7 linked regions of the Mus musculus genome follow. The protein of the gene in region 3 interacts with the protein of the main gene of each other region in a pairwise test. Links are inferred from orthologs where the notes say so. Each region holds a gene or a part of one and is shown on either strand. Other genes may lie near its edges. The genes, in order: Ywhab, Zbtb16, Htt, Hax1, Hypk, Rnf20 and Rnf40.

Region 1 (3,500 bases), on a different chromosome or scaffold from region 3:
AATAGCCTCTTTATTTGACTTCAATTTCTAAAGAAAAATGGAGGAAAGTTTATGCAATGTTCCTGTTTGCTGTAGGTCTTTTTGAGGGAAGGAAAACACCCCAGAGAAGATGAACTGATCAAGAAACGGTGACAAAACCCAAGTTACATGCTTTAGAACAAGTGACAGGTGGCTCTTAGCTTGAGTCCAGCAGAGCACCTCCTCTCTCTCTCCCCTAAGCTGTCTGAGAGCCTGCATCTGGACCGCTCGCTATGCCTAGAGATGCTGTGTAAAGCAGGAGCGCCGCCCTCACCAGCACATCGTTGCAGATGTCCTGCAGCTCCGCCTCGATCTTCTCACGGTACTCTTTGCCCATCTGCTGCTTCTTCTCATTCCTCTCGGTTTTCTGTTCGATGCTGGAGATGACACGCCAGGAAGAGCGGCGGGCACCTACCACGTTCTTGTAGGCAACAGAGAGTAGATTCCTCTCTTCATTGGAGAGTTCGTGTCCCTGCTCTGTTACGGCCTTCATAGCTGCAGCCATGTCATCATAGCGCTCAGCCTGCTCAGCCAGTTTGGCTTTCTGTACCAGCTCACTCTTATCCATGGTCATTTTCTACAACAGCAAGAGCACAGAGAACGCAAATGTCAGGTTTCCAACACTCTTACAATGCAATCAAGAATGTGAATCATATACTGAATGTCTACAGAGCCAAGACTGGGCCAAGGCTTTAAAACTCATTTTGGTCAGCTGTTATCAACCATCCTACATGGTAGGCATATCCCAAAAACCCTTCTACCTTCTTAGAAAACATGAAGATTAAAAGAAAGAAAACAATGAACCCAGAAGAGCCCAGCATGTAGAACACAGTGGAAGTCAAGACTGTTGGAGTGACCTTTTCCATATTGTATTAAGGTATGTATTTTAAATTGTTAATTCTGGTGATGGCAGAATTTTGGTATTGTCATTGCTACAGCTCATCACCAGCTTCCTATTTGTAACAACCCTCAATGGCTTAGGCAACCAAAGAGGCGATCTGGAGTTGTCTCACCACTGGGGCAGGAAGTACAAGGGTGGACCTTCTGGGCAGAGAGAGTGCCGCAGGGGAGACAGGCTGAAGGAGCTGAAGGCAGCAGGGAAAGGACACTGACAGAGCAGAGCAGAGCAGAGCAGAGAGGTAAACCGCTAGTCACCTGGCTGGGGCAGGCTGGAAGTCAGGCTAAGTTAGATGGGCTGCTGGAGACTGCCTCAGCAAAAGGCCTACAGCTTTAAACGTTATATAGAAGTTTTCACGCTTTATTATTTAATACAAGGCCTTTAAACTTGCCTGCTTCTTCTAGAGCTTCTTTGTTCCACTATCCTATCCCCCTCCCCAATACACAGAAAGTGCTTTTAAAACACTTTCTGTGTATTTTAAACATTCATTTGTGTGTACACGCCCATGGGAGAGTGCATGCATGGACACGTGTGGGGAAAGGAGGATAACTGTGGGAGCTGGCTCTCTCCCTGCACCACGTGGGTTCCAGGGATTGAACTTGGGTCATCAAGTTTGGCTCCAATCTCCTTTTCTTGCTAAGCCATGTTGACAGCCACCTAATAACTTTTTTTGAAGTTTATGCTGCCCGCTAATCCAAAGGACCTGCATTTAATTCCAAAAACCTACAGGGCAGTTCATAGCGCTGGTTCCAGGGGGTCTGACCACTTTCACCCCACTTCTGGCTGCAGAGTGTATGTGGTACACAGATAAATGTGTGGACATATAATACAGTACACATAACAATACATACATGATGCTTTTTCTTTTTTAAAGTAACCTTAGCTCTACACCCTGCCAATACAGAAGACCCTTCTCACTGTCTACTTCACAGCATCCCACAGCAGCTAAGAGTCAAACAGCAAGCATTCTGGCTAGAAGAAATGTCAGCAGAAATGACAGTTCTCCCAGGCAAAAACCAGTGAAAACCCTAGGCCTTTCTCTTAGAGCTGTCACCTACAAGTCCATGCATTCTTATGCGCAGCCCACCAATGGTGACTTTCTACAGAACAAGTTCCTGAGGGACTATGCCACACTAGACATGCAGCATCAAAGAGAAGTGCCAGGGGCTGGAGAGTTGACTCAGCAGGGAAGAGCTGCTCTTTCAAGAGGACTTGGGTTCAAATCCCTTCATGCTTGTAGCAGCTTACAACCACCCAGAATTCTAGCTTCAATGATGCAATGCCCTCTTTTGGCTTCTGTGAGCAACAAGCATACACGTTCGCGCGTACACACACGTACACACACACTCACTCACACGCATGCATACACATAATCATACACATGCATGCATACATACACACACACACACACACACACACACACACCCCTATATACATAAAAAGAAATAAATCCATCCCAGCACTTGGGAGGCAGAGGCAGGTGGATCTCTGTGAGTTCCAAGGCCAGCCTGGTCTAGAGTAAGCTCCAGGTCAGCCAGAGCTACACAGAGAAACCCTGTCTCAAAAAAATCAAAATAAATAAACAAATCCAAAATAACTATTTTAAGATTCTTTGACACTGTCAGAGTTCTTGAAGATTAAAAACCATCATGTTACTGCAGACATAAATGTATGTCTTTAAAAAGAAAACGGGTATTTTCTAAAACTTTCAATTGTGCGCAGACACACACACACACACACACACACACACACACACACACACAAGAAAACACTAACTAAAGGCCCTGATGCTTACTTACATAACTCAAGACTTACATAGCATGGATTTGGAGCAGCCGGGCCAATTTCAACAGGAAATGGGTTACACAACATCTACTAGTTTGGAGGAAGGCACAGACAAGGAAAAATGAAACAGTCCCTCTTTCTTCGCCTACCTAACACCCAACCTGCACTTCAGGTCACCATCTTGAGCTACCTCACGTCTCAACTATCAAAACCATCCTCTGATTGTTTCCATGGCGTCTTCCTAGATCATGAGAACAGCAACAAACACCAAACCCTCTCACACGTGCTGCTGTAAAAATGGCTGTCTGCATACAAATCCACTTTCTGTCTTGACTCACTCACTAGGCAATAGCTCTTCCTCACATGATCCCTACACCACAGCCACCAGCTACATGTGGCTATTCACTAGAAAATGTGACTAGTGCCACCTTTTGAAACCACAATATTTCGGATATTTAAAACTGTTCATTTAGCTTGCCTTTGGTTGTGGTATCTTTCTTTTTCTTCTTCTTCTTCTTTTTCTCTATACAGGGTTCTCTGTATAGCCACGGCTGTCCTGGAACTCAGTCTGTAATCCAGGCTGGCTTCGAACTCAGAGCCTCATGTATATTACACTCTAGCATTGTGTAACAGCCCTGGACTTTGTTTTGTTCTGTTTCTAAGGTTATAATGAATCAACCAAATTTTGTATTCTATTTCCAGTCTCTCCCAGTCTCCTGCACATTGCCTGGTATGCACAAAGAGCTCCTAAATGAGATGGTAAAACAGATCCGGGCCCTACCCTCCAAACTTGGCAGTA
Region 2 (3,500 bases), on a different chromosome or scaffold from region 3:
TGTGTGTGTGTGTGTGTGTGTGTGTGTGTGTGTGTGTGCTTGTGGGAGCCAGAAATCTTCTTCAATCATTCTTCACATCCATATATATATATGTACATGTATATATACATGTATGTATATATGTATACACACATGTGTATATACATACACACATATATATACAGATATATGTATGTGTATGTATGTGTATATATGTACACGTACACACATATATATATACATATATGTGTGTATGTACATATATACACATACATACACATATACATGTGTGTGTGTGTGTGTGTGTGTGTGTGTGTGTGTGTGTATGATGAGATCTCTTGTTGCGCCTGGAGCTTGTGAATTTGGCTGACTGGCCACAGTTCCAGGATTCCAGTCTATCTCCACCTCCCCTGGGCTATGATTGCAGCTGCATTTTGCTGAATTTGGGTTTTTTTTTTTTTGGTGTTGTTGGAATGCATGGCTTTTTACATATGCAGGTCCTCACATTTGCATAGCAAGCACTTTAACAACAGAGCTCTCTCTACCCCCCACACACACACCCAAAAACTGACCTTAAAAAGTGACTTTCCATATTACCCCCCTTTTCACAGCACATTCACATCCGGAATGATAGACCTATCTGGTCAAGGTTCAGGGGGGTGTTTCCTCTTAAGAAAAGCAAGAGCAAAAAACAAGCACAATTTCATCAGTCTATTTTTTGAGCAGCTCAAGTCCTAAGAAGACACATATCCGCAGTTGTTATTTTCTGTACTCTCTGGAAAAAGAAATGTTTACTTTTTTAGCTGAGTACCACTTTCCATAAGGTACAGCTCAGCTCGGCCGGTCAGGAAGCTTCCGGAGCACGCTGCGGGTAGAGGTGATTATATCGGTTTCCCACCCCCTCAAGTTCCCCCACCTAAATAAGCAACAGGAATGGAGGAGGAGGAAGAGTGCACACAAAGGTGGAAAATCCACCCAAGGTCAGCAAATCAGCCAGCCGGAAGTTGTGTAAAAAGTTAGCATCCATAACAACAGAAAACCAGATTTGTGGGCGCAACTGGTCCGACTCAGGGACGCGGGGCGAAAATGATGGGCTTGTAGTTTATGGCAAACAGAAAAGGCAAGCCCACTGCTAACTCCCTTCTCTTGGGCCAGTGCTCCCCAACCTGTTGTGCAGGAAGGATCTTCTTCATTGGGTAGCTACAAGGAACCATCACTCACAGGATGTCTTACTTTGCATCTTCCTGCCTTCGTAGAACTCAGCCGCAGCATTTTCCCTGTGTCTTACTAAAAGAAACACAACCTACCTCTGGGGGATATTGTAACAGAGGTGCAATTCCAGGTGAAGCACCTGTCCTAAACCAAACATATCACAAGAACTCAAAAGTGGGAAGGGCGTTGCAAAGATGAAGCCAGAAGCCAGAGGGCTAGCCTTTATGATAAGAGATGGCATGAGAAGAGGCTATATAGGCTGTAAGACCAAAACTCTTCTCCTTAAATTTAACTAAAGCTTTCTCTGCCTCACAATGTGCCTGCCAAAAGAGACACTTGAGACCTATGGGTACATACAGGACTTAAACGATCCCCAACCCCTGCTTTCATCATAGGCTGCCGACAGTGGGCAAAGAAAAAGCTAGACTGATACCATGGCTAGATCCAGATCAGAGGAGACCCTCAGCCTGAACCCCACTTTCTGCCCTTCTTCTCATCACTTTATTATTAAACAGTCACTCTAGGCAAAACAAAAGTGTAGTCCAAACCACAGAAAAACCAGATGGAGGCCCAAAAGCAAAATGGCAAGGAGGGCCTACAGGCTGACCCCAAGAGTTCCCTGATGTTACCAGCTAGACACCATTTCTCCTCACTGTCCTCTGAAAATAACCGTGCCCGCCTATGCCTCAATAATGAGAAGAATGGTTCGGTGTGGTTTTTCAAAGAGCACAAAGGAGTCAAGTCCCCAGATTCAGGATGGTCCTGGCATAAAGAAACGCTATGCAAGCCAGAGCATGGTTGCAGGGCTACTGCGGCAGGGGCTTACCTGTGCTGCTCCACTGCCTCGTTGTCCGGAAGCTCGACCCCACACACGCTGCACTGCTCCCCCAGAGGGCGGCTCTCAGCCTTCATGCCCACAGCCAGCTCCCCCAGCTTGCTGAACAGCTCCCTCTGGATGAAGCCCTGAGGCAGCAGACCCCCGTAGGTGCTGAAGTCCATGGAGACTGCCAGGGCAGGTTGCACATGGAGACCGGACGTCACTGAAGACGGCATGCTCAACACAGCATCGGCCTTGTGGTTGGGCAGCACCGAGTAGATACCCAAATGCTTCTCCACTGGGGGTGCCAGGGGCTCCTGCCGCCCAGGGGGTCCCTGGCCAGCTTCAACAGGAGGCGAGAGCTGCTCACCACTCTCCTCTCTCCCATAATGCAGCTCTCTGGCACTAGTGATGACACTGCCTCGAGTCGGGGTCCCAGGCCCCTCTTTGCTCCTCTCTTCAAGCTTGTCCCCCATCCCTCCTGAGATGCTAGACTCAGCTGCCCCAGGGCTGTCCTGGCCAGGGGCTTCATCTACCTGCATCATTTCCATCTTCACCTCAGCCACCCCAGGGTGTCGCCCACCCCCTGCCAGTGTGGGCTCCTCAGGCCCTGCAGGTGGCTGAAGAGTTCCTTGCAGGAGTGACTGTCCTATACTCATCAAGCTGTCCACGGCTGCCTTGGTAGGACTCATGGCTGAGAGACCGAAAGAGGTGGAGACTGAGGGGCTCTGGTCCACCATGGGCCCAGGGAGGCTCTGTCCAGCCACACTGGCGTAGCCACTCTCCTCGCTGGAATGCTTCGAGATAAAGATGTTCTTGAGGTATCGAGCCTTACGGTCCTCTTCTTCTTCGCCCCCACCGTCAGCCATGGTGGCCTCTGTGTCATTGTCATCAGATGCCTGGATGGTCTCCAGGATCTTCAGGCACTGCTCCTCCAGGTATTCGATCTCTAAAATCTCAGCTGCATACAGCAGGTCATCCAGGTCCTCCGCCTTGGCTTGCAGTGTGGCCGTGTAGGCGTACTCCAGGATCTGCTGGAAGGTTTTTGGCGAGAGGAAGTCTAGAGTATAGTGCTGGCTGTTTCGGTGGAAGAGGATCTCAAACATCTTGCTGGTGCAGGCTAGCACCGTCCGGTGGGCATGGAACTCCTGGCTGTCCACCATGATGACCACATCGCACAAAGTCCCAGCCAGTCGCATCTGATTGGCCTTGCACAGCAGCCCCGTGGGGTGGCTAGGGTTCTGCAGCTGGATCATCCCCATCTTTGTCAGATCCATGATGCTCCCCTGGGCTCAGGCATGGGGCTCTCTTTCCTTCTCTGCTCTGCAAGGTGGGGCGGTGTAGATGTCGGGGCCAGCAGAGGGGACTGGAGAAGAAGGGAAGAGAAGACAAAAGGGGTGAGCAAGTGACAACAACTTCCCCAGTGTCCCTTATAATAAAAAGTCAAAGGCTACAGTATGCCTCTACCCCAGAAAGAGGCTTGGTTGCGGGG
Region 3 (4,224 bases):
TAACTAGACAATACTTGTGTCAGGGTACTCTGGTGGAGTCAGCTTGTGAGGCAAAAATGCCAAAAAGCTGCTCATGAGAAATGAATTTCTAGGACTCTCCTCCTGGATATTCTGGCGAAAGCCAACTCTCCAGTTTGGATCGGTTTGTCAGGCGAAAAGCCTGGAAGCTGTTTCACGAGGATAAGAGTCCAGGGAAATTTTCCTCCCAGAGTTATGGCATCTCTTTCCCTAACCCATTATATTCAAATTTCCACCACATTAATCTAGTGTATAGATTCACGTGCACTCTATTAAGCATCACCTTATAGTAAATGCCTTTTAATATTGTATTCTAACATAGCTAAAGCCTTTCCCCAGTGTTCTTAGATTCCAGATAGCAGCAAGGAGCTTAACCCATTCAGTAAACAATTAAGCACTTGCCATTTTACTCAGCTGTTTACAGATAGAGACTAAAAGTCTCACTGAGATAGAAATGTTTTACTACAGGCTTCATTCCATGTCAAGTATAAGTTGATATACTACCCTGATAAGGGGGAACTCTCCAGACAGGATAAGTTTTACTAGACCTAAGAATTTAGAGCTCAGTGATAGCACATTACTCTTAAGGCCTGTCAAGAGTTAACAACCCCCTGATGCTTTTAACCTTAAAGTGTGAAATTCTTGCCTGGCATTAGGCTGATCCTAGGCAGGGCTTGTTATCCCTAATGTAAACATTTAATTAGTCCCTGCAAATTCCTTTCTGCTGTAACTGGTGAATTTCAGTGTATCTTGTCTTTTTGTGATTTGTATCCTCTGATAATTCGTTGTTATATAAGTCTGAAGCTCAACCAGAACATTACATTCAGATTCAACACCTCTCTTGTGTGTGGCTGATTGTCATTTTCATCCGACTCCTTACCCATCTGCCTAAGAAATCCCGTTCCTCGAAGACCAGGGACCTAGAGGGTCTGTGGCATACTTGGACAGCCCAGCATGGTGCCACATGCCTTTAATCCCAGAGAGAGGAGGCAGAGGCAGGAGGATGGATCTCTCTGAGTTCAGGTCAAGAGTTACATAGTGAGACTCTCAAAAGCAAAAAGAAACTACTTATCTAGAGGATAAGAAGTTTTCTATTCACACTTTTCACCTTATAGAAGGAAATTTTATTCCTATATTTTGTTCTATCAAGTAAGCCACCTTTTCTCCCCAAATCTTTATTTAAAAAAAAAAAAAAAAACAAACTCTCAGGACTGGGAACATAGCTCAATGATATCACCAGAACACTTATTTTCTAAGTGAGTTTTAATGATGACATTCTTTAGTAGGTTGTTCCCAAAAGTTCTCCTTATTAATTATACAAATCCAGATTAGAAATAAAATGCCCAGAGTTGAGAGAAAGGACTGAGCTGCAAGAGAGCACAGGGCTCAACACTCAGCATGGATTTCCAGGAAATGTTTTGAGCGTCTCTTTTCTCTTAGAGCACTGTGACTCATGGTCTCTCTTCTGTTTCAATATTCTCTCCAGTCACAAGCAGCTAGCTTCCAAAGATCTATAAGATGTCAGCAAAGAACTAAACAGGAACTTTTACTGGCACAAAGTCAGAGTCAGAGTGGCCTATGTTCTAAAACAAGCCTGTCTGCAACACTAGTAAAATTCATTCCCCGGTGAAAACTGAGCACCACCAATGTATCCGTTTTATATAGAACAAAAAATCGATAGGCAGTTAAGTATAAGTCGACTCTTTCATATATATGCACACATATAGTTTTTTATTAATAATCACACCTAAGTAACTCACCATGTACTTGACAAATACAACTCATCCAACTGCCTGCAGACACACAGAAGCACACCTCTCTGGCTATGCTTAAAACCTGGTTTAACTACACTACACCACAAACTAAATGAAACGCCAGGAGAGTACGAAGTGCCTCGAGTCACAGGCTGCTTCAAGTGTCACTTGGAAAAAGAATATCCCATTGGATGCGTTCACACTCCCCCGCCCTCAGCACTCCCGCCGAGACCTCCTAAAAGCATTATGTCATCCACTACCCGCACATCTCTCACGCTGTCCTGCACTCCCAGCTCTTAGGCCTGATGAGGAGGTAACCCTAGAGATCTCTGCCTCTCCAAGTTCTCTTCACAACAGTCATGTGCGCCACCGCCCCAGTTTCTCCAGAAGAGAGAAACAAGTTCGTTCCCTAACTTCGCAAACTGGGAACGGCGAAGGCACTGGAGTCGTGACGCCCCTCAGCGAGTCCCTGGCTGGCCTGACCCGGCTCTGTCTCCTCTGAGGGAGGCCAGAGACCCCGCAAGACGAGGGCCCGGGCCGGGAAAGCCTGGCCTCAGGGAGGTACCGCGACCCTCTGGACAGGGAACAGTGTTGGCCATGCCCAGCACGCAGGCCAGGGGCGCGGGGCCCGGGCGGGAGCTGCGGCGCCCGGACTCACGGTCGGTGCAGCGGTTCCTCTGCCGGACCTGGCAGCGGCGGTGGTGGCGGCGGCGGCTGCCCCTGAGGCGGCGGCTGAGGGGGTTGAGGCGGAGGCGGCGGCGGCGGTGGCGGCGGCGCCTGCGGCGGTGGCTGCTGCTGCTGTTGCTGCTGAAACGACTTGAGCGACTCGAAAGCCTTCATCAGCTTTTCCAGGGTTGCCATGACGGCTTCCTGCCCGATGGGACAGACCCTGAAGACTTGGAGCCTACTGGCACTACGCGGCGCCACTTAGCAGCAAGGCAATGAATGGGGCTCTGCGCGGCAGGCAGAAGCGGAACCAAGGCGCTCAGCCATCTTGGGCCCGTCCCGGCAACCCTCGCGGCGAGTGCGTCCCGTGACGTCATGCCGGCGGAGACGAGGCCACGCCAGACCCGCAGAATTGACAGGCGGATGCGTCGTCCTCTTTCCCGAAGTCAGGACGCAGGCCTGCGGGGCCTCTGCTAGTTTAAGACTCTCCGCCCCGCCGATGTGGCCCCGCCCCTTCCCGCAAAAGCCAGCCCCCCTTAGTGAAGAGGGCCAAGCAAGAGGATGAGGTGGGCGGGGCGGGCTGCTAGATGAGGGACGGAGCTGAGCGGAGAGTGGGCTTTAGGGCGGCTCCCTGGCACCAGCGATAGAAAAGAAGTGAGGAGGTGGGCAGAGGAGTTGGGGAGACCCGGAAGGAAGAAAAGGTTGGAAAGGGGAATGACAGCGAAGAAATTTTCCTGCGTAAAGCCACCCTACACCTGGAGTCACCGGGAAAGCGATTGTGGAGCTCGGAACCCGAAACCCAAAGCAGCTCTCTCTTCCACAAGCCAGGTGGTGGCCTGAGCTTCCCGAACGCAGCGTGCTGGGAGCTCCCTGCAATGAGAAGGGAACCAGAGTGACCTGTATTCAGGACCAAAGAACCCTTTATGATCCGTGGACCCCGAAGCCCCAGAAGTGTCTGCAGTAGAGAAGGCTGAGAAAGGGTTTCAAGCAGGCAGCGAAGGCTGAGAAAGGGTTTCAGGCAGGCAGCAGTAGTTACTGTCCAAAGAAAGGCTGTGTTTCATGCAACTTTGGTCACACACTCTACATTGAGACACGGACCCTGGAAAGTGCTGTGGCAACCAGCCAGGACCTACAAGGGGTCTCATTGCCACCAGCGCTGAAGTCCTTGTCTCTAGAGCCTCCATCTCCCAAAGGTGAGCAATTAAAGCAGGAAGCTGAAAATGGTGTGGATACACCCAAGCTGCCCCTGCAGTCTGCCCAGCAAAAAGTGTTGGCTTCAACCGGGCATGGTGGTGCATGCCTTTAATCACAGCACTTGTAGAATGCTTTTTGAGTAGCATGCACGAAGCTCTGAGTTCAATCCCTGCATTTTATAAACCAGGGGTGGTAATCATGTACTCTGCAGGTAGAACGAGGATCAGGAGTTCCAGGTTTTCCTTGGCTTCATAGTGAATTCAAGTCAGCATGGGCTGTATCAGAACTTGTCTCAAAAGAAAAAGGAAAAGGAAAAAGCCAAGCAGTGATAGAACACACCTTTAATCTCAGCAGTCTGGAGGCAGAGGCAGGCAGATCTCTGAGTTATAGGTCAGCCTGTTCTACAAAGTGAGTTCCAGGACAGCCAGAGCTACATAGAAACCCTGTCTCAAACAAACAAACAAAACCGTTCCGGCTTCAGAAAAAGCTGTCTGGAGGTGATCCATGCAGTGAGAAACCCAATGAAGCTTCAGGCTACCTGTAAGAATCAAATGCCCTATTCCATGGCCATAAGGCACTCCATTTTCTCGAA
Region 4 (4,295 bases), on a different chromosome or scaffold from region 3:
TTACCGTACCAACTGGGGCCTCTTCTAGCAGGCTCGAAGGCTGTGGAATAAAGTGAAATCTTTGCCCTTTAAGATCTCTCACCTTAATGTGCTAATATTTTGCCCTTAAGGGGATTTCCTTATACATTCTGTGACTGGAAAGAACTACTGCAAATCTTCATTTCTTCTAGAAACTGCCTCATCTACAGCACGTTTCAGGAAGTGAAAGGGGAAGGAGCTAAGGACATTTAGAAGGCAAAGGACCTTGTGGGAATCTAAGCATGGTTTTAAAGGATTCTGAAGTCTCAAGCCAGCATTAGCTGCTGGCCGGCAGAACTCAATCTTGGGGTCTTTTTCTCTTTGGAGGAGTATAGTAGTTCTTGTTCTCTGAGTTATGTTTTTGAGACAGTCTCACTATGTAACCCTGACTGGCCTGGAGCTTGGTGTGGAGACCAGGTTGGTCTCACATTCAGAGATCTGCCTGCTTCTACCTCTTGAGTGCTAAGGTTAAAGGTTGTCAGCACTACACCCTGCCTTGCCTATTTTATGTGGCTTTGAAATGCCTACATTTTGGGAAAAGAATGGATGATCTTAGAGCAAGACCTGGGGTGGGGGCATGGTGCAGTAAAAGGTTTTTGGACTTCAATTACGTGAAAGAGAAGTTTCATTTTTCTTTGTAAGAGCCATATTGCCAGGGACTCGAGATCCTGTTTCAGCCTTCCAAAACTGCAAATATCCTCTGTGCTGAGGAGGTGAGGGAGGTCTGTTTATTTTGAGTCAGAGTCTCACTCTGTAGCCGACTTGCCTGAAACTCAGTGAGGAGCAGGCTGGCCTTATACCTCCCGAGTGGATTAAAACACCATCAAATTTCATTACGGCATGGTTTTCCCAAGACACAAGTAGCTTCTCGTTCCTGCCTAGTCTACAAATCTTACCTTGTTAGTTGGCCATCTGTTTAGTTTTTTAAAAGCAGCGTGTGGTGGTAACCGCCTTAAATCCCAGCATCTGGGAGGCATTAGGCAGGCGGGTTTGTAAGCCCCTTTGGTCTACAATCAGTTCCAGGACAGTCTGAACACCACACAGAAACCCTGTATCGAAAAAAACAAGCTTAAAAACTCCCTACTAGCTGAAGAGATTCCTAGCATCTTTATTCAGCAGTAGGGAAATCGCGGTTTAAGGAACTAGGTAACTTCGCCTAGCCTAGTATTAGACGTCACCGACATCAGTCTAAAACAAAACACAAGGTGGGGGGTGTTTTCTGATCCTGGGGTGAAGCAGGCCTCTGAACAGGCCACTCCCTCTGGCGGCTACCTGGGACCCTCCAGAGAGAAACGGAAACCCCCCTCGGGGGCCTGGCAGATCAGCAGGAGAAAGAATCTCCTAGAAGGGACGTGATCTTGAACTGGGAATTTCGCACGTCCACCCTCACTCAAAACTGAAAGGTAGCGTATAGAAGCTTCGTGTCTGAGGAGCACGGTCAGCCCCGCCTCTTCCTCCGGCTTACGACTTTTACGACAACGCCGCACCGTAGGGTTGCTTTCCGGCAGCGAACGCTGAGCCCTGGCTATATCCGACAGGGTAGCGTAAGCTGGTCGTGGTCTCGTGTTGCCCATGGGCTGCAGAGCTTCAAAGTTTCTAGTGCCCCTACTGGAATGAGCGTCTTTGATCTTTTCCGAGGCTTTTTCGGCTTTCCTGGACCTCGGAGGTGAGAATAGTTCTGGGCTGGATATACGGGAGGGGTGTTTTGGTGGACACTTGACCCCTTCATCATATTTTTGGAAAGCTTCCTTTCCCGCCCCCTTCAACTCCTGCTGAGAGGTCAAAGATCGCATTCTTGAGTACTCACCCCGCCACAGTAATCAAAGCAGTGGTTAAGAGGACAGAAACGGCAGCTTTCTCCAGACCTGGGTGATGCAACAGGGACCTGGGCGGAGAAAACAATGGGGGTCTGGGGAAGAGGACCATGAGCAAGTAATTGGGCGATTAGTAGTAGGCTGGATGACCCTGAAGAAAAACCATGGGTCGTCTGGCAGCTGTTGGGAGGTGCGGAGAGGCTCTGTTTAGAAACAATACAAAACCCTAATAGATCCATCAACGTTGTTCTGAAACCAGATCTCCTGTGTTTTCAGCTGCCCAGACCCCTCTTTGGCCCAGTTTGCTGCCCTTGTGTTGATTTTTATGGCTTAGACAGTGTTGAAGTCTTCGTGGCTTATTTGCCTTCACTCTCAGCCACAGAGATCCTTTTTTTGGAGGGATGACTCGAGATGATGACGACGATGATGATGATGATGACGAAGCGGAGGAAGACAGAGGCGCGTGGGGTCGAGAGAGCTATGCGTTTGATGGTTCTCAGCCTCCAGAGGAATTCGGTTTCAGCTTCAGCCCCAGGGGAGGGATGCGATTCCACGGCAACTTTGGCTTTGATGATCTAGTACGAGATTTTAATAGCATCTTCAGCGAGATGGGGGCCTGGACCTTGCCTTCCCACTCTCCTGGTGTGTGAATTTCCCTGAGGGAGACCCTATGGGTTTCTAGTGGGTTAGTGATGAATAACAGAACTTGCAGAGTAGTTGGGATAGTCTACAGAAATTGATTTTTAAAAGACTTAAAATGTTTAAGGCCTTTCCTATCCCAGAATCACCTACCAACTTTCTACAGAACTTCCAGGTCCTGAGTCAGAAACACCTGGTGAGAGACTGCGGGAGGGGCAGACACTACGAGACTCAATGCTTAAGTACCCAGATAGTCACCAACCCAGGATCTTTGAGGGGGTCTTGGAGAGTCATGCAAAACCTGAATCCCCAAAACCAGCTCCAGATTGGGGGTCGCAGGGACCTTTTCATAGGGTGAGTACTCTCTGCACCTGAACTGTAAGCCCTTGGTGGGATCTCTTAGAGTTGAGTTGCAATTTTAGCCCCTTTAATTAGTTCATTTATCCAGATTTTCTTCATTATTGGGATTTTCGTTTTGAAACTTACTTCACTGTATAGATTTAGATATCTGCCTGCCTCTGGATTAAATGTGTGCCACCACACCTCATCTAAGATTTATTTTCTTTTATATGTATGAGTGTTTTGCCTGCTTGAATGTCTCTGTACCACATGTACCTGTGCCCACAGAGGTCAAAAAGGATATTGAATCCCCTGGAACTCAAATTATGTATGGTTATGAGCCACCATGCTCTTGCTGGGAACTATAAACTATGGTCCTCTACAAGAGTGTCCCCTCCCCTCTCTTATTTGATTTGATTTGTTTGTTTATGTATTTTGAGACGGAGTCTCTGTAGTATTGGCTGACCTGGAACTTGCTATATAGACCATGCTGGCCTCAAACTCAGGGATCTCCTGCCTCTGAGTTTGTTAGTTAGGATTTTGTTGCTGTTTGTTGGTGTTTTGTTTTGTTTTTTGTTTGTTTGTTTGTTTCAAGACAGGGTTTCTCTGTGTAGCCCTGGCTGTCCTGGAACTCACTCTGTAGACCAGGCTGGCCTCGAACTCAGAAATCTGCCTGCCTCTGCCTCCGGAGTGCTGGGATTAAAGGCGTGCACCACCATGCCCGGTTTGACACCTTCCAATCTTAAACTTGAAGGTCAGAGAACCCATATTCCTCCCTTGTTCCAAAACCCCAGAAATACTTCCATTTGGGCAGCTTATATTCACATACCTTCTTCCTTAGTTTTATATGGACTTCTACGAAAAAGAATTCCTGAAATTCTTTCCTGCACTTTTAAGATTCGTTCTTAGCCGGGCGTGGTGGCACACGCTTTTAATCCCAGCACTCGGGAGGCAAAGGCAGGTGGATTTCTGAGTTCAAGGCCAGCCTGGTCTACAAAGTGAGTTCCAGGACAGCCAGAGCTATACAGAGAAACCCTGTCTGGAAAAAAAAAAAAAAGATTGGAAGGTGTTTTTTCACTGATTGTGTGTGGCTTCTTCTACAGTTGGATGATACATGGCCTGTGAGTCCCCATTCTAGAGCCAAAGAGGACAAAGGTAAGTCTAGAAGGAGGCACATTTACCATACCATTCTCCTGAAGTTCTCTCAGAAGGTTCTTCCTGAAAAACGTATCTAATTACCTGCCCTCCACTCTCTCCTGGCTTGTCATCTCTCTGCCCTTCCAGATCTTGACTCCCAGGTTTCCCAGGAAGGTCTGGGTCCACTTCTTCAACCCCAGCCCAAATCGTATTTCAAAAGTATCTCTGTGACCAAGATCACTAAGCCAGATGGGGTGAGTTGAGAGGAAGAAGTATAATCCTCTGGGGAAAGGGACCAGTATAAGAAAATACTAAACTCAGCATAGTGCTGTTAGCAATATATTGGGA
Region 5 (3,131 bases), on a different chromosome or scaffold from region 3:
ATTTTGCTTTTGAGGCAGGTACTTACTGAGTCACCTCTCCAGGCCTGATCCAACATTTTGATATCTGTGTTCCCATTTCTAGAACCTAAGTGTTTATTCCAGTTGTTTGTAAATACAGTTGATAACTTAAAAGCCCCCAAAACAGATGCTAGCCTTTGATACTCATAAGCTAGCCTGGAGAGTTAGTTGAAGCAGCTTTCAAGTTAGGGAGGGGTCTCAGTTTGGAAACAGCCTGGTTTATACAAGAACAGATCCAAGGGGAAAAGTGCATAAGCTATCCTAGAAACATATGCATTTGGATCTTTTGCAGAGGATCCAAATGTACTCTACATTGCCAAGAAAGAGCTAGTCAGGTGAGTGATACTAACATACCACTTAGTATCTGCTGCTTAGAGCTGGCAAGATGGCTTGGTAGAAAAGGGCACTTAAATTTGTTTCCCATGTGGTAGTTATTAGAAACACTATGGCAGTAGAGGAATCACACACACAATATAAGAGCCTGCATTTGAACATTAGGTACTTCTTTATACTGATTGTTCACACAGTTTCATCAAGGTCCAACATAGAAACTGACAATAAAATAGAATATATAATGCATTTGATCTGAGATGAAACTGAAGAAAAAAAAAAAACAGCAAAACAGAACACTTTATTTCAGTCAGTCAGTCAGTCCAGAATGTCTAAAAAAGCACATTATCAGTTGGTTAGGGCAATAAGAGCCTCCACCACATTGCCCATGTGTTCCCTCAAGCTCCTTTCTGCTGCTGCTCGAGAGATCTCCATTTCCGTCATCTGCAAAAGGGAAAATCACGTCACCAAAGCCTCTTCTCCACTTGTTTCAGGAGCCCAAATTAGGTAGCACTTCTCTTGTGAATCCATTAAAAAATTAATACTCACTATCAACTCCAGATCTTCCTTCTTGATAGTGACCTTCGCCAGTTCCTTCTCCCTGTAAATATTTATACATTTCTTTTCATTCTCTGCCTCTGCTATAAACTCCCAGAAGGAACACTCCCAGCTACTCACTGAAAATGGGTGGAACAAGGTTTACTGAAAATAGCAAATAAACGCGCCAACTCTTTCCCCTGGAGGTTTTACAGTAAGGTATCCTGGAATCTTTCCTTCCACTAACAAAGTTGTAATCCCTAGATCTGTAGAAATTGGTTAAAGACGTAAACTTTTTTTTCCCCTGGAGAACGAGGACCTACCGGTAGTGCTGGTGGTGTGCTTTAAACTTACCGCTCTTGTTTGGCCTTTTGTTCCCTGGACCGTCTGTCTCCAATGACGGACATAGCCTGTAGAAAACACGAGTCAAGTTATCTACCACCGTGCCACGCAAATTTTCTGATCTAAAACGCAATACCAAAAATAAAAACCACGTGGTTTTCAGGTATTCACAACTACGAGTGTTCTCAGGACCAAAGGACTACGCCTAATTTCGTGCACATGAGATCTATTTAGGCCCAATCTCTATCGAATTCTTAAGCAAACAGCAGACTGGGTGGGTGCTGTCGCTTAGCCCCACCCTACTGCCAAATCCCACCATTGCTATCAGCCTTCCCGGAGCCCCAGTGAGCAGCAAACCGGTCAGTCTCACCTCTCTCCCGCCCCTCTCTCAACCCCTCATACAAGCTCCCAGCCAACTTCACCGTTTCAAGATTCGAACTCTGGATCTCCTTCTCCTCCGCATAGTCAGTAACCCGCTCTAGGTCAGCAGCACCACTGTCATGTTTCCTTGGCTTCTCGGGAGGCCGCTCCGGGCCGCTGGTCTCGGTCTCTAACTCCAACTCCACGTCTCCCTCGGTCGCCATTTCGATCTCACCGCGCCGCCGCATAGGCTGCCGCTTCACAACTTCCGGCAACCCTCACAGCTTCCGCCCAGATAAGGGGCGGGGTAGGCGTGGACCACACCTTTGTGCCTGTCTTGAGAAGCTTCAGCTAGCAAAGAGGTTCGCTTTTGACTTCCTCTCCAGCTTGTTTTCTGCAGTCTCCTTCGACTATCTGTTCACTACCCACACCACCAAGGCACATTGTTCCTAAGAGCAATCCTTTCACACATAGAGACACACACATGGAATTCTGTCCAATCAAGGTGGCTAATCCTAAACCAATTAAAAAACCTAATCCCTAGACCTGATAGGCCAACTGCTCCTAATCTCAGAATAACAGTCCGAATGATCCCGAATAGGAAGCCCGGCGAAGGCATCTTCACAAGACTATTTGCATCTATCTACCACTTCCTGGTAACCTGTATTCATTTTATGACATGTCTATGCTGCCTTAAGACGAATGATTAGGCCAGCAAAGCGACTGTCCAATGGGCGAAAATCCCGAGAAGCTGCTGTTTCTCGTCAGTTTTTCCAATACTGGATCTACATCTAACAAAAATGATGGGTGCAAAAGTTGTCACCGGCCGGAGCACCACCCAGGGTCTTGCACAGCAGCACGGTGGAGTCAGTAATGTAGTGGAAACCCCCTTCAATCAGGTGAGACATTTGGGAAGAGATAGCTAAAAAGCTAGGAGTTGGGATGAGAAACCTGGTTCTTTGCCTGGGTAATAGGTAAACATCTCATTCCACATTCCCAGCCATAGATCATTAGGAAAAAGTTAAGTGGTTCAAGAATACACCAAAGTTTAAAGTTCTTGCAATGAAAACCTTACTAGTGCTTTGTGGAAGGTAATCCTAAGAGGCTCATAACCAGACAGAAGGATGGAGGGTTTGGGAATTTGACCATTGGTTAACCCCACACCCTTTGAAAAACTCTGCATTGCTTCTATCCCCAGGCATCCTGCTGTGGACCTGTTTCTTGGACCAGTGGCTGCCACTCTCTGACAGAGTCTAGGTGTAGCCGCCTGCTCTACATCCTCCTCCACGTGGGAGCCTCAGCAATCTGCTGCCTCCTGCTTTCGAAGACAGTGGTAGAAAGGGTCTGGGGCAAAGCACATGGGGTAAGTCGGCAAGGGTTGCAATGTGAGGGAAAAAAAAAAACCTTTAAGATTTGGGACAGGGAGCAAAGGAGTCAACCTACCAGTAAAAAGTTGAGACTGTCCATAGATTGTGGCTGGCCCTGACTTTTCTCACAACCAACTCCCTGCAGATCCAGATGCCCTCAGTGCTATGTGCCCACCT
Region 6 (3,500 bases), on a different chromosome or scaffold from region 3:
GAGGGAAAATTTGCTATTTCCAGATTTATAATTTGGGGGGGCTTTTTTTCTCCCCATGTTCTCAGGGGATGGGCAAGAGCCAGCTTTCTCTTTCCTTGCTACTTTGGCTAGCAGTTCCAGTGAAGAGATGGAATCTCAGCTTCAGGAGCGTGTAGAGTCCTCCCGCCGTGCTGTGTCCCAGATTGTGACTGTCTATGATAAATTGCAAGAAAAAGTGGATCTCTTATCCCGGAAACTGAACAGTGGAGGTGAGGAGAAGACCAGGAGACAGGGATCAATGGGAGGCAAGAACTCAGCTCTAGGAGGCTTGGGGTGCTGCTCAGTAGTAAGGGAGAATGTGGCTAGGTGTGTGGCTTCTATTCCAGCACCAAAACGAGTAAGAGAGGAAAACTCAGTTTAACGAAGCTCCCTGGAGTTTTAACCCTTGTGACTCTCAGTGTAATTCCCATGACATGCTAACGATATACTTTCATAAGTAGAAGTAAACTTCTGACTTCAGATGGTGAGTTTTAATGTGTTCCTTTTCCTTTGGTGTATTTAAAGACAGTTAGATGAGGTAGTAAAGTAATAAGATGACTCCTGTGTTTGAAGAGATAGAATAGGAAACCAGTGGATGAAAAAGCCTTAAAGTAAAATGACCATTTGGAATACTTATTGAGTTTTATTACTGAAATTATGTTTGTACAGTATAGGAAGTATACTAAAATTATTAAAGATCTTTAGTCATTTGTGATAGATCTCTTTCTTAAATGCAGATAAAATGCCTTTATTTCAGGTTTTCAACATTAGCCATGATCTGGTTACAGTATCTTTTAAGAAGTTTTATTGTATATGTATATGTGAGTGTATAATTATATACACATGAGTGTAGGTAACTGAGGAGTTCAGAAGAGGGCATCAGGTCCCCCTGGACCTTGAGTTGTTGGCCACCTGACATGGATTTTTGGTAACTAAACTGGGGTTCCCTGCAAGAGCAGTACATTCTCTTATCCTCTAGCCATCTCCCTAACCCTCTGTTGTAGTATTTTAGCTGCCGTGATTATCATCAAGATATTTAATGTTTTAATCTCCTAAATAAATTAGTTAACTATAATGTGCTTTATTTACTAGGTGAGCAAATAAGAACTGTATTATTCTAGAATTTTATTTTCAAGAAAATTCTTAAAAATTGCTTCTTTTTTAGTACGGTAATTAATATGCTTGTTTATATTTTATTTTTTAATTAGGATACTACAGTTGAGAGTGGATGGGTATGACTACTCCTTCCTATTGCTATAAAACTAGCTGTGTGATACTTCTGTCTCCCATGGCTCTAATTGACTGCCTAGAGGGTATTGTTAAACCACTCTAATGTGGGGAATGTACAATGTGCAGAGGTTATTTTGATGCTACATTTGATATTTTAGGTGAATGTCAAGTACATTATTTGCTATATTTGTAAAGGAATTAGACTGAATAGAAAATAAAACTGAACTAAGAACTGTTTTGGGGTTCTGTGTCTACAAGATTGCTCAGCTTTGAAGGCTCTTGCACAAGCCTGATAACAAGCGTTTAATCTCTGGTTCCCACAAGGTGGCAGGAGACAACCAATTCTTGAGGGTTATCCTTTGACCTCCAAATTCACGTGCCTGTACACACAGGACAGACCCATGCATACACAGAAACAAAAATTATTTTTTGTAAGTGTGTTTTAAGATCAAGTTTAAGTTAAAAAAAAAACACATTTTATTTTAAATTCTAAATAGTTAAGCTGTTTGTGATCCAGAGGAAATCTGTGTTGATAAAAAAAGTAAAGATATATATCTTTATATCTATATGAATTATAATGTATATTATAACTCATAACACATATATGTATATGTGTGCTATGAATTATAATACTGAGTAATAACTTTTTAGAAGTTCATTTTCACCCATGGTTTCATTCTTGTTTAGATTTATGGCTTATTTATTAATTTACTAACACTCACTGGGTTTTAATTGAATTTTAGGGCCTGGCTTCAGAACTTAGGGTATTGAAGAATGAAAATTTAGGCATTAGTTTTTAACTCAGGTTGACTCAGTCGCCGTTTAATTATGTATTTATTTTGCCATAGCTATGGAGAGTCTTAACTAGAGGGTTTTGTATGAGTCCCTGGGAATTGTCTATCTTGAAAGTCTGATAAATGATTCAGGTGGGCAATCCTACATGGAAACTGGGAACCCGTGACTTGACTGATCTGTTGCATGAGTACTGAGAGCAGTAATAACAAGTGGTGTAGGAATGCTTTTTCCTGGCAACTCTAAAGGATAATGTGTGTCTGGAGACTAATTGGTTCCATTTATAGCACATAGATTGAGCTGTAATAATTATGACTAATTTTAAACACCTGAATTCAGCATAAGAAATTCTAAAGATGTAACTTGTAAATTTGTAAATATTATGTACATTTTTGACTTTGAGCTTCAGGAACTTTAGACCGTGTACAACTGTGCTTACCCAAGGCTACCTACTCTCCACCTTGATGCCCTTCCCCCATTGTGTTTGATGCCATTGGATATTCATTCCATTACGAACAGTGGCCAGCCAGGTGTGGAGTCCAAACTGTCAAGTCCAGCCTGTGCAATGATGTAGTGATAATGCAAAGTAAAGCCTTTATGTCTGGCTTTGAGTAAAATGTTCCAGCAGAGCCTATGCTTTGTTTGGGTTGATCCATAGAGGCTGAGAAACTTTTTTTGAGACTGTTTGAACTTAAAGAAGAAACATTGTGTCTCTTGAAGGTCTGCACTTGGTGCTACTTGAGAGCTTGCCACTGCACAAACCTTGATCCTAAGACACTCGAGGCAAACCTGGAGTTCTTCCTCCTGATTTTTGGCTAGCCATGATCAAAGGGACTGAGATTCGTATGGGTCATTTGCTCTCTCTGGTAGCAAAGGAAAGAAAATCAACCTTGATAGTTGGAACCTTTTCCAGACCCAATTAATTTTGTACTTAACATAATATTGTGATAAGTGAGTTCTGTGTTTTTATCTTTGTTCATTGGGATTTTTATATGTGATTATTTGAAGATAGAAATTATGCTTCCTGTCTCTCCACCACAAAAGAGAGATGCTTCATGTTGTTATTAGTTAATAATAGGAGTTTGTGATTACCTTATAAAATAAAATTGTATTGCTTTAATTTGGACACTGCTTAGAAATCTTGTCTGTTCTAAATTCTAAAGTATCTATTTTTGGTGATGGTAATTGTATGTGAATACAATGATATAGCCTTCATTTATTTGTTCAAGGCATTTGTCTTAACAGAGATGAGAATAGGTGATGGTTGCAGGTTGACTCATTTATATAACCAATTACCTATCACCTGACCTGGGTGCTTCCTGTGTCCTGTGAGATAACACACTAGGTTACTTTCTGACATTCTGAGGATAGTGAGGTGAGCCATCAGGTTGATGCTTTGATGCAATAGATGATTGTACAACTTAAGACTATTGATACTAAACTAAAGTGCAGTTCTTCTT
Region 7 (4,272 bases), on a different chromosome or scaffold from region 3:
CCTCGGATAGCAAACCCAAACCCTGCCCAAGTTCTAACCGCACCCAAAGCCCAACTCCTACCTCCAACGAGATGCGGTGGTGTTTCTCTTGCAGCTGAGTGGCCAAGTCCTGTAGCCTACGGTTCTCTCTGCCTAGCTCCCGGGTGCGCACCCGTGCCACCTCCCCAGGGGCCTCACTGTCCCCTGGGAATGCAAAGCCTGGATGAGAGCCAAACCCTGGATAACCAAGGAAGAACTAGCTGATCCCGGAGTCCCTGGATAACCAAGGAAGAACTAGCTGATCCCGGAGTCCCTGGATAACCAAGGAAGAACTAGTTGATCCTGGAGTCCCTGGATAACCAAGGAAGAACTAGTTGATCCTGGAGTTTCTGTGCTCAGTGTTATGCACCAGCTATCTCACCAACTGCTTATGACAAACTCAGACTAAGCTAGCTCACAGAGGGACCATTCAGCCAAGAAAATGGACACTAGGGAGGAGAATTAAGGGCAGGAGGAAAAAACCCCTTGCCTCAAAAAGCCTGGGCACTTGCCTCTCAGTGTAGTGGGACAATAGCTACCCCTGAGGTTGGTGCAAAGTTCCAGAGAGCCCTCCTGCTGAAGGGCTGTGACCCTGCCAGCATCAACAGCTCCTCCAGCCGTCTCTCTAGAGCCCCACTTCAGGAACTAAAGCTGAAATCCCCGTCTGAACTAAGTTGTCCCAACAAGAACAAGGCTGACATTTACTGGGGACTCTGAACAACGCAGGCCAGGGTGGATTTCTCAGGGTAGGGTCCACAGAACTAACCCCGGCTGTATACTCGCTGACAGAGTTCTTCCACCTGCCGTTGCAGGCGGTCCGAGGCCTCGACCACCCGAGACACGGCAGCCTTGGAGAATTCCATCCGACCCTGCAGCTGCAGCTCCACTTCCTCACAGCTGCTGGCGCCCAGTGCCACCACAAAAGCCAAGGCCGGCTCACTGAGAGGGGCTCGAAACTGCACTGGCAGCGGTTCTGGAAGGGACAGAGAATCCTCATCAGAATGAAAGGCCACAGCAGGGACCATCAACCTCTACCAAGTCCCAGAATAAGCTGCTTGGTATTCCATGGCTGCCGGGTGGTGGTGGCGCACACCTTTAATCCCAGCACACTCTGAGTTTGAGGCCAGCCTAGTCTACAGAGTGAGTTCCAAGTCAGCCAACATTACACAGAGAAACCCTGTCTTGAAAAACCAAAATAAATGAATTAATTGATAAACAGAAAGACTTCTGCTTCTACTTTTCAGAAGGCTGGGATTATGAAAATCCAATTAGATTCTAAAACTTTGTTCATTCCATTAAAAAAGAATATTAAAAAAACCAAAAAAAAAAAAAAAAACAAAAAACCCATGTTTTTAAGACAGAGTCTCACGATGGGCGTGGTGGCACACGCCTTTAATCCCAGCACTCGGGAGGCAGAGGCAGGCAAATTTCTGAGTTTGAAGCCAGCCTGGTCTACAAAGTGAGTTCCAGGACAGCAACTTCTGCTTCCCAAGTGCCGGGCATTTCGGTAGCCCCACATCAAAGTCACCTCCTCCTCAAAACCTTTCTGAGAACATAAGCTCCCCAGGGCCCTGGTCCTACCCCTCAGATCTGATGTCCCTGGGTCTGGTCGAGGGATCACATCACGGGTCAGGCCCTCTTGGCACCCAGGCACCTCTGTCCCTGAAGACAGTTCCCTCTGGTTCTCGTAGCACTGGAGGAGGGCTTCTACAGTTTCATCCAGCTGAAAGAAGAAAGAACAAGAGGTTAGGAATGCCTCAGGGCTTCTCCCAGTAGGACGCTCGCTCTTCAGGCATCCACCTGGGCCCAGTAGCGGTTGACGATGAGGAGTGTGGCATCATCAGTGGCCTGCCTCTTCTCCAATTTCTCAATTCTCTCCCGGAGCTCATCCTCGCAGGCTTGCCGCTGCTCCAACCGCTCCGCCAGCTTCTTGTTCTTGAACTGCAGTACCTTGGAATCCATCTCCTCCTACCAGAAGGGAAGAGGCAGAGTGTCGGGCAGGACCCTGAACCATCACTGACACACAATAGGACAAGGATTAGACTGAAAGGGGAGAGGTATATAGCAAGGCTCAGACACTTGCAAAGAGAATATGCTAGTCATGAGAGCTTCACATTCCGTTCCTGCCCCTACCTGTTTCCAACTCAGACACATCACACAGGACTTACGGGAACATATGTGCGCATAAGTAAAAGGCCAGAAGGGACTCCGTAAAGTTGTTCTCTGATCACATTCACGCCGTTGGCACACCCACCCTCACCACCCGGTTTGTGTATATACACACGAGCACACACAAGATTCCAAACACTTTGGGCGCAGGCCAAATGTGACTTTCGCAAAAGCCCACCAACCGTGGAAGAAATGCCGCCGAGACGAATGGGTTCGATTAGAGTGGTCGTGGTCTTCTCCTCGCGGTTCATCTTCTTCTCTGGGGGTCCTGAGCCCCCGTCGCCGGCGGCGCGCTTGTTGCTGAGGCCAGACATAGCGGCGGTGGCGGAGGGGCAACTCAGGGCTCTCCGGGGCTGGCAGGCGGGTGGAGGCGGCACTTCCGTCACCTGCAGAAAACAGAGAGCTGAGCTGTGGATGCGTCTGGAGCTCCGCAGTCCTGAGCGTCCCCCTGGACATATCTCCCGGACCCCGCCCCCGCCGGACGGGGGTCCGCACTTACCGTAGGGTCAGCCAAGCGCCACCATCTTGGATTTCACCGGACGTCACCGGCCGCCAGACGCACAGCGCAGGCGTCAGAGCCGCTCCGGATGTGGCGAAACTTATTTCCTGTTTCTATTGGTAGCTCTTGGTTCCTCCTCTCGAGTCTTTTAGTCCCACCCCTCCAACCCCGCGACGGACTGTATTTCTCTTAATGATTGGCCAGCAGGCGGTTCCCATAGTTACTGACCCCGCAGTTGCACTAGGAGATGGAGGGGTGGAGCCTTTGCTGCTGTTCGGGGTACTCGGTACACGACCCCTTGTAACTCCAGATCCAGAGGATCCGTCATCCTCTCCTGGCCTCCGCGGAGCCCTCCCGAACATCCTGTACATATGTGCGCACACGCACGCACAAACACAATCTTTTAAAGATTTAAATTAAATCTTTAAAAAGACCGACCCTCAAAAGCACCCTTACAAGCAACTTCTAAGAGGCACGTGCAACTCGTTACGCATGCGCTCTATCTTTTCAATGATTGGCGTGGGCTTGTACTTTCTACTTTCCTTAACAACGGTCACCGGGGAGACAAGTTGGGAAGACGCCCTCTGCGGATTGGCTGCCTCTCGCTTCACCGCCTCTGAAGAAACACTAGAAGGGGCAGGACCGGGCTTTGCAGTGGGAGAGCTGGCTGTCCCAGAGCCCAGGCTGGAGAGCCCTTGACTGAGGCTAAGAAGGACGAAGAGATGATTACCCCCAGTTCCAGCCAGAGCCTGGGAATGAAGGTGCAGATGGAGTCGGAACAATCTCCCAAATTGCAGGAGGAACTGGACAGGAGTCCCAGCTCGGTGGACGGCTCGGCCATAAGGAACGGAACAGACATGCAGACCGAGTCGCCCGCAGAAGCCACTAGTAGCCCTGTGGAAGTGGCTGAAGATCCTGGAGCCAACTTGTTCCCGGTGAGGGCGGGACAGAGTTGTCCTCTAGTGAATACTTAGGTTTCCCAAAAAAGGTGCCGCCAGTCATTACGTTTATCAACATTAGGGAATTTCCTGGAGTTGCTTTGATTGTAAATAGGCTGCTAAATAGTATTTCGAGCCCACCGAAGCCCGGTTTTACCTATTTTGCTATAGTTAAAATTATAGCACACTCAGACCTGCTAGAAATTCATGAGGTACTAGGGACTAGGGGATACATACTGTCGTATCTATTTGTCCCATAATCTGTCTTCTCTCCGCAGCCACCACTACCCCAGCCCCGGATCTGTATGTGGTGAGTGTGGAGAGCCCAGGGGAAAAGTTACACTTCTCATTTGTATTACTCCTGTAAGGTGTCCTCAACAGTCCTGTCCAGCCAGGGCTCTCCAGTTTTACAAAGATGAGACTGAGAAGTGCTCAAGGTAACGAGTCACCAGCGTGCCAGGTGCCTCAGTGTAAAGTGGCGGTGTGAGAAGGGAGGCAAAGGCAGGAATGTACACAGCTGCAATGATGGAGCACTGTGCACACCGATGCCAAGGCCCAGGGGACTTCATCAAGGTCACACAGAGCAAGACAAGGACTCAAAGTTGTTTTTTGGGGGGTTTTCAAGACATTGTTTCTCCTTGTAGCTTT

The links.
Region 1: the proteins of Htt (region 3) and Ywhab interact in binary tests that used the Homo sapiens proteins (3 or more experiments, as listed by UniProt). The link is inferred for Mus musculus from reciprocal best matches to the Homo sapiens genes HTT and YWHAB.
Region 2: the proteins of Htt (region 3) and Zbtb16 interact in binary tests that used the Homo sapiens proteins (3 or more experiments, as listed by UniProt). The link is inferred for Mus musculus from reciprocal best matches to the Homo sapiens genes HTT and ZBTB16.
Region 4: the proteins of Htt (region 3) and Hax1 interact in binary tests that used the Homo sapiens proteins (3 or more experiments, as listed by UniProt). The link is inferred for Mus musculus from reciprocal best matches to the Homo sapiens genes HTT and HAX1.
Region 5: the proteins of Htt (region 3) and Hypk interact in binary tests that used the Homo sapiens proteins (3 or more experiments, as listed by UniProt). The link is inferred for Mus musculus from reciprocal best matches to the Homo sapiens genes HTT and HYPK.
Region 6: the proteins of Htt (region 3) and Rnf20 interact in binary tests that used the Homo sapiens proteins (3 or more experiments, as listed by UniProt). The link is inferred for Mus musculus from reciprocal best matches to the Homo sapiens genes HTT and RNF20.
Region 7: the proteins of Htt (region 3) and Rnf40 interact in binary tests that used the Homo sapiens proteins (3 or more experiments, as listed by UniProt). The link is inferred for Mus musculus from reciprocal best matches to the Homo sapiens genes HTT and RNF40.

What each region holds. Positions count from the first base shown.
Region 1 is NC_000068.7:164,008,697-164,012,196, reverse strand, and holds part of Ywhab (14-3-3 protein beta/alpha), read right to left. Parts: intron 596-3,500; 5' UTR 593-595; coding exon 293-592; intron 1-292. UniProt on the Homo sapiens protein: Adapter protein implicated in the regulation of a large spectrum of both general and specialized signaling pathways. Binds to a large number of partners, usually by recognition of a phosphoserine or phosphothreonine motif.
Region 2 is NC_000075.6:48,829,726-48,833,225, forward strand, and holds part of Zbtb16 (zinc finger and BTB domain-containing protein 16), read right to left. Parts: intron 3,375-3,500; 5' UTR 3,286-3,374; coding exon 2,018-3,285; intron 1-2,017. UniProt on the Homo sapiens protein: Acts as a transcriptional repressor. Transcriptional repression may be mediated through recruitment of histone deacetylases to target promoters. May play a role in myeloid maturation and in the development and/or maintenance of other differentiated tissues.
Region 3 is NC_000071.6:34,760,316-34,764,539, reverse strand, and holds the start of Htt (huntingtin), read right to left. Parts: upstream 2,801-4,224; 5' UTR 2,634-2,800; coding exon 2,431-2,633; intron 1-2,430.
Region 4 is NC_000069.6:89,995,917-90,000,211, reverse strand, and holds the start of Hax1 (HCLS1-associated protein X-1), read left to right. Parts: upstream 1-1,495; 5' UTR 1,496-1,631; coding exon 1,632-1,684; intron 1,685-1,713; exon of another isoform or gene 1,714-1,887; intron 1,888-2,108; exon of another isoform or gene 2,109-2,208; coding exon 2,209-2,474; intron 2,475-2,637; coding exon 2,638-2,825; intron 2,826-3,913; coding exon 3,914-3,965; intron 3,966-4,094; coding exon 4,095-4,201; intron 4,202-4,295. UniProt on the Homo sapiens protein: Recruits the Arp2/3 complex to the cell cortex and regulates reorganization of the cortical actin cytoskeleton via its interaction with KCNC3 and the Arp2/3 complex. Slows down the rate of inactivation of KCNC3 channels. Promotes GNA13-mediated cell migration.
Region 5 is NC_000068.7:121,455,810-121,458,940, reverse strand, and holds Hypk (huntingtin-interacting protein K), read right to left. Parts: upstream 1,854-3,131; 5' UTR 1,836-1,853; coding exon 1,650-1,835; intron 1,296-1,649; coding exon 1,240-1,295; intron 950-1,239; coding exon 898-949; intron 793-897; coding exon 697-792; 3' UTR 501-696; downstream 1-500. Other genes in the region: Serinc4 (serine incorporator 4), read left to right, coding at 2,388-2,486, 2,786-2,950, 3,100-3,131. UniProt on the Homo sapiens protein: Component of several N-terminal acetyltransferase complexes. Inhibits the N-terminal acetylation activity of the N-terminal acetyltransferase NAA10-NAA15 complex (also called the NatA complex).
Region 6 is NC_000070.6:49,638,560-49,642,059, forward strand, and holds part of Rnf20 (E3 ubiquitin-protein ligase BRE1A), read left to right. Parts: intron 1-65; coding exon 66-248; intron 249-365; exon of another isoform or gene 366-3,415; intron 3,416-3,492; exon of another isoform or gene 3,493-3,500. UniProt on the Homo sapiens protein: Component of the RNF20/40 E3 ubiquitin-protein ligase complex that mediates monoubiquitination of 'Lys-120' of histone H2B (H2BK120ub1).
Region 7 is NC_000073.6:127,587,226-127,591,497, reverse strand, and holds the start of Rnf40 (E3 ubiquitin-protein ligase BRE1B), read right to left. Parts: upstream 2,801-4,272; 5' UTR 2,687-2,800; intron 2,574-2,686; 5' UTR 2,502-2,573; coding exon 2,370-2,501; intron 1,987-2,369; coding exon 1,819-1,986; intron 1,742-1,818; coding exon 1,600-1,741; intron 992-1,599; coding exon 785-991; intron 217-784; coding exon of another isoform or gene 184-216; coding exon 62-183; intron 1-61. Other genes in the region: Ccdc189 (coiled-coil domain-containing protein 189), read left to right, coding at 3,409-3,621, 3,903-3,934.